2 linked regions of the Mus musculus genome follow. The protein of the gene in region 1 interacts with the protein of each later gene in a biochemical or structural test. Links are inferred from orthologs where the notes say so. Each region holds a gene or a part of one and is shown on either strand. Other genes may lie near its edges.

Region 1 (6,769 bases):
GGCAGAGAGAGGCAGAGAGGCAGAGGCAGAGTGGCAATGCAGAGAGAGCAGAGGGGCAGAGGGGTAGAGGCTGGTCTGGTCTACAAATCAAGTTCCAGGCTAGCCAGGGATACATAGTAAGAACTCTACCTCAAAAACAATAGCTAAACAAATCCAAAATCAAAACCAAAAAAGCCAAACAAACAAAAACCCAACCTTTTCAGTAATTTGACATCTTTTTTTGGTGGGGGGGGTTGAGACAGGGTTTCTCTGTGTAGCCCTGGCCGTCCTGGAACTCACTTTGTAGACCTGGCTGGCCTCCAACTCAGAATCCGCCTGTCTCTGCCTCCCTAGTGCTGGGATTGGCTACTTATAAAAATTTTAAGTTATGTTTAGATCTTTATTTTTGTGTGTGTATGTGTACATTTTGTTTCATGGCACATGTGTAGATCTGAGGACAACTTTTGAGAGTCAGTTTTTTCCTCCCACTGTGTAGTCTTGGAGATCGACTCAGATCTTCAGGCCTGAAGATGATTTAACCAGCTCAGACATCTTGACATCTCAGCCTCAGACTTTTTTTTTTTTTTTTAAAAACTTCTCTTTTTTATTTTTTATTTATTATATGTAAGTACACTGTAGCTGTCTTCAGACACTCCAGAAGAGGGAGTGTCAGATCTTGTTACAGATGGTTGTGAACCACTATGTGGTTGCTGGGATTTGAACTCTGGATCTTCGGAAGAGCAGTCGGGTGCTCTTACCCACTGAGCCATCTCACCAGCCCAGCCTCAGACTTTTAATGGGATTTAATTTGGGTTCCATCTGCATACAGTACCCTAGGATGAAGAGATCTTAGAGACTGTGCCCTGGTCCTTACAGCAGTACTATCTGTCTCATGGTGATTTATGTCTTGTTATTCCAGTATTCTGAAGATTAAGACTGAGTTGTTTTGAGTTCAAAGCCACTCTGGGTTAGAGAGTGAGTCACTGACTCTGCAGTGAAAACACGTGTTAAGGAAAAATGAAAGTATTTGTCTTTTTGAAAGAGTGCAGGGGGATCCCTTGTGAAGGACCAGCATTCAGAGCAGGAGTACTAGGAGCTCTGAGAACTAGGCAGCCAACATGGGCTAAGGACTGGCCCTGGAGTCACCGTTTTACAGAATAAACAGAAGGTGGCAACAAAACAATTCAGTCTAACAGGTGCTAGGACTGCAGTTTGTCAGAGACCTAATATAAGATGCTTCTTAGTTTGTTTTTGGGGGACAGGGTGGCCTGTCCTAGGTGGCCTGTAGCTGTGCTGTGTATGTAGGCCAGACTTGTCTCAAACATGAGGTAATTCTGTGGCTTTTCCTCCTCAGCGCTAGGATGCATAACCACCTCATCCCCTTAGTATGGCTGGACATGAAGGCCTCTATGTGCAAGTAGAGGTCAGAAAACTTGGGAGAGCTGGTTCTCTCCTATTTTGGGCCTGGGGCTAGAACTCAGGTTGATAATAGTCCCCTCCACCCCCAACGAAATAAGCTAATTCAAGAATAATTTTTTTTAAAAAGGCATATCTATTTGGAAATGGGTTCCCGGGTGAGTCCACCAGCCTCAGAGGTCGGGGGCAGAGTATGGCTGGTACTTTTTTGATAGATTGTAGGCGAAGAAAATGACAAGTCTACCACAAGCTGGGCTTGTGCCCAGGTATGGTCATCTAGGGTGGGGCTTGGGTGGCTGGTGACTAAAGATGAGGATTAGTACAGTCAGGAATTCAGGACTGGATTTTTTGGCGCCTTTTTGTGTTCTGAGGCTTTCTGAGTAGGCGGGGTTGGAAGGAGAGAGAGAGAGAAAATTTGGAATTTACCGGGGATGAGTGGGTGGGGAACAAGCCAACAAGCCGGGGACTCCAAAAACAGGTGATAAGCAGCATTACCAGTTGACCCGACCCCAAATGCATCTTTTAATAATTCTCTCACTAGTTTTGAACCTGCTCTAATGGAAATCTTGCCGACTGACTTCCTGGATGCCCTACTTGGGTATGGAGGGAGCCCTTTTCTTCCGGTCTTTGCGTCTCTGACTGACCCCTTCGACTCCTTCTGAGTTTCAGTTCTGCAACACACAGCATTCCCCATTCCTGGCTTCCCTTTCGCACACTCATCACTTATCTCTGGGTCAGCCTCCTCCCTCCCACCACGCCCGCCCGCATCCCCATCTTCCCATCCCGTTCGCTCGCGCAGTCTTTCCCTCTCTTCCGGCTTCACTTGGCTCTAACCCTCGCGTCCCCCTCTCTCCAGAAGCGTTCTTTTCATTTCCCGGTTGGAGGGGCGGCCCCCGATTCCACTCCGGGGCACCGCTCCCTCGGGGACCTCCCCAGGCTCGGCCGTTGAAGGAGGCGTGGCGCACGAATAACAGGTCTCCTGCCGCACACTCCGCGGGCCCGAGCGCAGACAAAGACATTCCACGGCGCCCGCCCCCTCCGCGCACTCCGCCCGGGGGAGGGGGAGGGGAGACACGTGTACCGCTAGCGCCGGGTCACGTGGAAAAGAAAAAGAAATGAAGGAAGGCGGCGGGCGCCCGCGCAGGCGCCCTAAGCTCGGAGCCCAAGCGGGGAGGCGACGTCTTCAGTCGGCGCAGGCGCCGTGGTCCAACTGGGGACTTTGTTCTCCGCGGAGAAACTCAAGGGCGGTGCCGGTAGGCGCCTGCGCACGCGCGCCGCCTCATTTCCGGTGCTCTCTCGCTGGGTCGCTCGGGTCGGCTTCGGTCGCTGTCGCTCCTGTTCTTCCACCCCCGCCAACCGCCGCTCGGGCCTCAGCTGCCGCCGCGTCGCTTCCTCGCTCGTTCGCTCGCCACCCATCATCCCCGATGCAGCGCCGGGACGATCCTGCCTCGCGCCTCACCCGGTCCTCGGGCCGCAGCTGCTCCAAGGACCCGTCAGGTGCCCACCCCTCGGTGCGTCTGACCCCGTCTCGGCCGTCGCCGCTTCCTCACCGGCCCCGGGGAGGGGGAGGTGGGCCCAGAGGAGGCGCTCGGGCCTCGCCCGCCACCCAGCCGCCGCCGCTGCTGCCTCCCTCCACCCCTGGTCCCGACGCGACGGTGGTGGGTTCCGCGCCGACCCCGCTGCTGCCCCCGTCAGCCACAGCCGCGGTCAAGATGGAGCCGGAGAATAAGTACCTGCCTGAACTCATGGCCGAGAAGGACTCGCTCGACCCGTCCTTCACTCACGCCATGCAGCTGCTGTCCGTAGGTAAGCGGTTCTTGGCGGGTCCTCTGGGTCTCCCGGTCCTGACTGTGGGTGGCCGCCGCTTTGTTCTTGCTCCCACCCCCTCGGAGCCCGGGCATCGAGAGTTGTCATCTCGACCTGGCCTTCGAGATTCTGCACCCACAGTCCCACCCGGGCTCAGGGTGTAAGGGAAGATTTCTGAGCCACGGACGAGGCCCGAAGAGGACTCGCGATCTCAGAGCGCGGAGAGCTTGATGGATAGTACCGTGCTCCCGCCCCCTTCTCCTCCCGTAGTAGTTGCCCCGCGCGCCAAGGGCCGGCTCTTAACAGAAATGAACCTATTTCTCCCCGCTTTCCCAAAGAGGAAACATTTGGGGGGGGGAATCGCGGGTGATGGAGACCTGGGGTGTAAGGTAGAGATAGCCGGAATGCCGGTCCCGCACAGCGCATCTACGGAGCGGGGCGGGATTTAGCGGGAACTCGGGTTTAAGTTCATTAGAGGTCGGGGCGACGAGAGAATCCGTGAGCTTGAGGTTTTCTCAAGCCAAGCTTTCCATTTCGGCCTGTCGAGTAAGAATTGCTGCAGACCCGGATGGTTTCTCTGTTTTATTTTGAAATGTGTTTCTGAAGTTATGCAAAAGTGTGTGTGTGTGTGGGGGGGGGGTTGTGATAGCCCAGGAGACCGTAGAAAGAAATGATAGAGGGAGGTAAGGGGCGGCAGGCAGGTTCTTTTGCGTGAGATGAACGAGAAATTGGTCTTTTTGTTTTAGTTTTTGCTGGAGTAGAGATAGTTTAAGAATGGTAGTCTTTGTTCTCTGATTGTAGACTATGGAGCTCTCTTCTCCGGACTTGAGCGACTTAGATATTTTTCCTTATTCAAACCGCCGCCTGTTGTTAGACATGGTTTTAGTATTTTTTATGATATCGAATTTTTTTTTTTTTTTGATTTTGGTTTTTCGATACAGGGTTTCTGTATAGCCCTGGCTGTCTTGGAACTCACTTTGTAGACCAGGCTGGCCTCGAACTCAGAAATTCGCCTGCCTCTGCCTCCCGAGTGCTGGGATTAAAGGCGTGCGCCACCACTGCCCGGCTGATATCTAATTTTTATTAAGCATCTAATACCCACAGTCTGTCCTACTGGTTGAATAGTTGGACTGTTGAGGGGCTGATGGAACCTTGTCACCAGACAAAAACTGGGAAGGTTGAGCGGATTCAGAAACCCTACTCTGAACCTGGAACACTTGACCAAGACACCCCATGAGTCAGTCACACGGGGTGTTAAACCCCCCCCCCAACACCTGAAGGCCCTCCCTCCACATGCAGATGTAGCATCCCTAACTTCTCCGACCAAGCCAATAGAAAGCATCTGCTTTTAGATCCCACCCCACCCCAAAATGTATATTAGACCCTAGCCACAAGGAATAAAGGTTATTTCATCAAAGACTGCCTGAGAGCTTCAGAATTCTCCCCCCTCTCCTTTGGAGAGCAATGCTCCAGAGCCCCCAGATCTCCTCTGATAGCGTCCAGTACACAGAGCATTGCACTCTGGCCAGAACGATATCGTGGACAGTTCATTGTGAAAGAGCACTATCTAATGGAGAGACAAATCAGCCTTTAAGAGCACTGTCTGCTCTTCCACAGGGGTTCAGTTCCCAGCACCCACATCAGAAGGCTTTCAGACACCTGTAACTTCAGTACTGGGGGATCCTGTTTTTGTTTTCTTTGGTGGTTTTTTTTTTTTTTTTTTTTTTTTTTTGGTTTCTCTGTATAGCCCTGGCTGTCCTGGAACTCACTTTGTAGACCAGGCTGGCCTCGAACTCAGAAATCCGCCTGCCTCTGCCTCCCAAGTGCTGGGATTAAAGGCGTGCACCACCACGCCCGGCTGTTTTCTTTGTTTTTTTTTGTTGTTGTTGTTTTTTCGAGACAGGGTTTCTCTGTATAGACCTGGCTGTCCTGGAACTCATTTTGTTGACCAGGCTGGCCTCTGCCTCCCAAGTGCTGTGATTAAAGGCATGCACCACCACCACCGGCCTGATGTTATCTTATGTCCTACACAGGTACTCAAAATACAAAGCTGAAAAGAAATAAAAGGAATATACCATTTTCCCTTCATCTGCTCTCTGTTTCCCAGCATTGTTGAAGGGGATTTACCGTTTGTATAATGCAAAAAGGTCACGGATCTACAATGACTTAAAGACCTGCTTTTCTTTCCAGTCAAATATGAAAACAGCAAATAAGGGCCTTTGAAGCACAGTAAACAAAACCTGTGGTCAGTGAATAGAAACATCAACTCTGTGCATGTCAGCTTGGTACCTCTATTCTGTAATACTTGGGCTCTTACGTTTCTGTTCTTTTGTTCTGACAACTTAGTAAAATTTTGATTTTTTTTTTTCCTTTTTTTTCTTTTTTAAAAAAAAAAAGGTCTCAAGTAGCTGAGGCTGGGTACTCTCTGTATAGCCACTGGTGACCTTGAATTTGTGGTCCATTTCCTCGAGGGTTTGGGAAGTGAGCCCCACCACACTCAGTTTGTGCAATGCCTAGGATCAGACATAGTACTCTACTAACTGATTTACAATTTGGGTCATTATTTTTTATATTTTTTTCATACTGGCTTGCAAATAGCAAACACCTGTGTTTGATTGGCACTTCGAATAAGTACCTGCAGACTGAAGAATACCATTATGGTAGAGGTTGACTTGCTAATCTTATTTTTATTTCCTCAAATCTTTACAACCTGTCAGATTAATTGCTGAAGAGTTATGTCAATTTTAAGATGTTAACTTTGGAGAGTGACCCTTAGTGACTTGGTCCTGTGAAATTGACTAAGACTGCGGTGTCATCTCTAAAGTAGTGAGTGTGAGGTCTGTTATATGTAAAATCAGCCAGGTTCCTTTGACCTGTACTCACTAGATAAAATGTCACCATGGTTTTCTTTTGGTATAATTCCTATATATATAAGGCATAATGTGGCCTTTCTGACATCAAGTACGGTGATCATTCTCTTTTTAACGGATTTTTGGGGTTCACAAAAATAGTTTCTTTTTTTCTTTTTCTTTTTTTTTTGACCTAGCTTTATTTTATTTTATTTATTTATTTGTTTTTGTTTTTGTTTTTTTTTTTTTGTTTTTTTTTTTTTTTTGAGACAGGGTTTCTCTGTGTAGCCCGGGCTGTCCTGGAACTCACTTTGTAGACCAGGCTGGCCTCGAACTCAGAAATTCGCCTGCCTCTGCCTCCCAAGTGCCGAGATTAAAGGCGTGCACTACCACGCCAGGCAAAAATACTGTTTCTTAAATGTTTCTTTTAGCTCTGCAGTCAGAGTTTAACTTTGGTGTGGTTACTAAGAGAAAACACTTTAAAGTTGGGTCTTTTTTGCTTTTGCCTTATTTAAATTTATTAATTATTTTCTATGTGCATTGGTGTTTTGCCTGCATGTCTGACTGTGAGGTTGTCACATCCCCTGGTCATGGAGTTAAAGACCAATGTGAGCTGCCATCTGGGTGCTGGGAATTGAACCCAGGTTCTTTGAAAGAGCAGGCAGTGCTCTTAACTGCTGAGCCATCTTCCTGGCCCCAGTTTTTGTTTTTGTTTGTTT
Region 2 (3,500 bases), about 130 Mb from region 1:
TATTCTCAGCGGAGGGATGGAGCATCTCTTGGTACAAGAAATTTAAAGTTAGAGCTGGGCATGGTGGCACACACCTTTAATCTCAGCAGTCAGCACTCGGGAGGCAGAGGCAGGCAGATTTCTAAGTTCGAAGCCAGCCTGGTCTACAAAATGAGTTCCAGGAAAGCCAGGGCTATACAGAGAAACCCTGTCTCAAAACACCAAAAAAAAAAAAAAAAAAAAAAAAAAAAAAAGGAATTTAAAGCTAACCTGGAAAGCAATGCAGGATCACATCTCAAAAACCCAAACCAAACAAACCTATGAAAATGTCAAACCAAACCTCTATAAAACAGTTCAGGTTTTTCCTTAATGGGCCCATTCTAAGTTTCCATGGATACATCTTATATTTCATTTAAATTTGCCTACTTAACTTCTAGTGCTGGGGATGAATGCTAAGTACACATTTGACCACTGAACTATATCCACAGCCAGAATTATATATAATTTCCTTAAAGGAAAGCAAGACTTGGCACAGACTGTAACTTGATCATTCATGGAACTGCTAAGGGTTCATAGCCATTGCTTGAAGACATTACCTTTACTATGTCTTTGCATGAGTTTTCTTTTGAAGTGCCTTACTAAAACTGGAAGTCCCTACAAGAGCAATAAAGACAGTTGTGTACACCTGTTGTGTGCTGGAGCGTATCACTGATTCCTGGACTATTGCCAGACAGTCTGGAGCAGTGCTGCATGATGGGAGGACAGAGATGCAGAGACTGAGAGCATCTCCATGTTACCACTTTCTATTTGGTTCAATCCTAACATGTTCCTTATGATCTTTGTACCTTTCTGGTATTTTTCAAAGACTCACTGCTTGCTGGTATCAACAAACCAGTGGACTCGGTTCTTGCTCATGTACTTAGAAGCCGGATTCTCTGGTGCGGATCCAGACTCAGCCCCTTACAGAGTGATCTCTAGAGCTGCAGAACAGCTGAGGTCTGTCATCAGTGGTCTGCAGCATTGAATGAGTGTAACAAACGTCTCTGCAGTTCAGGGAAGCACACATACTTTATTATTGAGAGAAAAAATCTACCTGACAGGCTAAAAAAAAAAAAAAGAATCTTAATTTTGCCAATTCAGTTTTGTTTTAGTTTGACGAATTGAAATACGAGGCTGGATGTACACACCTGTGTAATCCCAGCACTTGGGAAGCTAAGGCAGCAGGATTTAGAGTTTGAGGCCAGCCTGGGTTACACAGCAAGACCGTGCTACCACTCAGTGGTTGAGCTCTTCCCTTGCAAGCACGAGGCCCTAGTCCATTGATCCCCAGTACCAAAGAGTAAAACAACCCCTTATCTAAGAAACAGCGAAGAAGAAAATAGTTGCTACTGTTTATGAATCTTGTTACACAGCAACCCCCTGTCTTGAAGGTAGACGTGAGGACTGTGGGAACAGAGAGAACACTTGGTGGAATTGGGGGTGGAGAAACAGGAGGGCATCAGGCACGGGGGTCAAAGTGTGGAAAGCAGAGCACAAGCCTGCAGTGAGATGGCCTCTGTGGCCCAGCACACATACCTTCCCTTGCTGTGTACTCGTTATCTTCGATGACTCTCGCGAGGCCAAAGTCTGCAATCTTGCACATGAGTGACTCAGAGACCAGGACGTTAGCAGCTCGCAGATCACGGTGGATGTAGTTCTTCCGCTCGATGTACGCCATGCCTTCTGCAATCTGCAAATAGAAGGGGCTCAGGCTTGTATTCTAGATAGGCTGTCATGGTTGGCCATCAAGAAAAACAAAACAAACACAAACACAGAACTTGAGCTTTTGAGATTCTTTCATGTGTATTATTATTCCTGTTGTTCACATTTTTAAGATAGTGCTAAAGTCACCCTTAGAATCCTTTCTAAAATCTGTCCCTAACATCTACAATGATGATAACTTCAAAGAAGGTTTTATTATCTGTATGTCTCTGTGTGTGTTCATATGTGTATGTGTGTGTTTGTGCATCTTTTGTGTGACAGTGTAAACATTGCATGTAGTTGCTCATAGAAGCCAGAAGGGGGCATCAGATCCCCTGGAGCTGGAGTTGCAGGCAGTTGAGAGCAGCCCAACATGAGAACGGGGAACTGAACTTGGGCCCTCTCTAACAGCAGTTTGTGGTCTTAACTACTGAGCTATCTTTTTAGCCCCATGGTAATGGGTTTTGGTTTGGTTTTTTTTTTTTTTTTTTTTTTTTTTTTTTTTTTTTTTCCTTTCTTTCAGTTTTTCGAGACAGGGTTTCTCTGTATAGCCCTGGCTGTCCTGGAACTCACTTTGTAGACCAGGCTAGCCTTGAACTCAGACATCCACCTGCCTCTGCCTCCCAAGTGCTGAGATTAAAGGCATGCGCCACCACTGCCCGGCATAATCTTAGATTCTTAAGTGAGGAAATATATGCTATTCTCTGGATGTTGTAGCCCCCAAATTCATATATTGATACCCTGACCCTCAATATGATCCTTATGTGTTGGCAGTTGTAAAGTAATAAGTCAGGGCATCATGGAAGACTTGGTGTCCTTACACAAGAGACCACAGAGAGCTTCCTGGTCCCTTCCACCTTGGGTAGCCATAGCTGTTAAGGGAGAATGTGTGTGTGTGCATGCATGTGTGCATGCATGTGTGCATGCCTGAGCCAGGAACTGAATGTGCTGGCACTTCCTCCCGGACATCCCTAGAACTCTGAGAAGTAAATGCCTGTTGTGTGAGCCATGCAGTCCATGATGATTTGTGGTAGAAACCAGAACTAAGACAAAAGAAGTGAAGAAATTGAATTTTTAATAATACAAGTTCATTATAAGGCACCAGGACATGAGGGCTGTGCTTGTTAGTAAGACTCACTCTATCAAGATCTTGCTAAGGAAGAGCTGTAGGTCCAGCTCTCCAGAGCCTCTGAGCACAGTCCCTCAAGATGAACTGAATATACTCTGACAACAAAGCAAGGGCATGAGGCAGAATGAAGGATTCCAATAGACAATGACCTCGAGAGAAGAAGGTGCCACTTAGTGCTGGCAGGAAGTGTGGCAGAGCTCTAAAATAAATTAGAGGATTGTTCCACCAAATTACAGTCAAGGATAAGGAATGAAGGTGTGTGTGCATGTGTGCTTGTATGTGTTTATTTGTGTTTGTTTATGTGCATGTTTGTGGTGCGTGTTTGTGTGTGCTTGTGTGTGTGCATGTTTGTGGTGTGTGTTTGTGTTTGCTTGTTTGTGTGCATGTTTGTGATGTGTGTTTGTGTGTGCTTGTGTGTGTGTTTACGTGTGTTTGCTTGTGTGCAGGCTTATGGTGTGTGTGTGTGTGTTTGTGTGTGCTTGTCTGTATGTTTGTGTGTGTGTGTTTAAGAGAGTTAGAAGTCACTTCCAATTAGGATTACTTCTAATAGAGTCCATTGCCCCCCAGATTCTGCCTTAAACTGCAGCAGCTCATCTGGAAGGACCAGACTCCTCCATCACTGTGAGCAGCAGCCTCATTACATCATGCTGTG

What was found. The genes of interacting proteins can lie anywhere in the genome.
Region 2: the proteins of Khdrbs1 (region 1) and Lyn form a complex in vitro, tested with the Homo sapiens proteins (3 studies listed by BioGRID and IntAct, with this or other methods). The link is inferred for Mus musculus from reciprocal best matches to the Homo sapiens genes KHDRBS1 and LYN.

Annotation. Positions count from the first base shown.
Region 1 is NC_000070.6:129,738,211-129,744,979, reverse strand, and holds the start of Khdrbs1 (KH domain-containing, RNA-binding, signal transduction-associated protein 1), read left to right. Parts: upstream 1-2,676; 5' UTR 2,677-2,819; coding exon 2,820-3,201; intron 3,202-6,769. UniProt on the Homo sapiens protein: Recruited and tyrosine phosphorylated by several receptor systems, for example the T-cell, leptin and insulin receptors. Once phosphorylated, functions as an adapter protein in signal transduction cascades by binding to SH2 and SH3 domain-containing proteins.
Region 2 is NC_000070.6:3,779,121-3,782,620, reverse strand, and holds part of Lyn (tyrosine-protein kinase Lyn), read right to left. Parts: intron 1,709-3,500; coding exon 1,555-1,708; intron 1-1,554. UniProt on the Homo sapiens protein: Non-receptor tyrosine-protein kinase that transmits signals from cell surface receptors and plays an important role in the regulation of innate and adaptive immune responses, hematopoiesis, responses to growth factors and cytokines, integrin signaling, but also responses to DNA damage and genotoxic agents.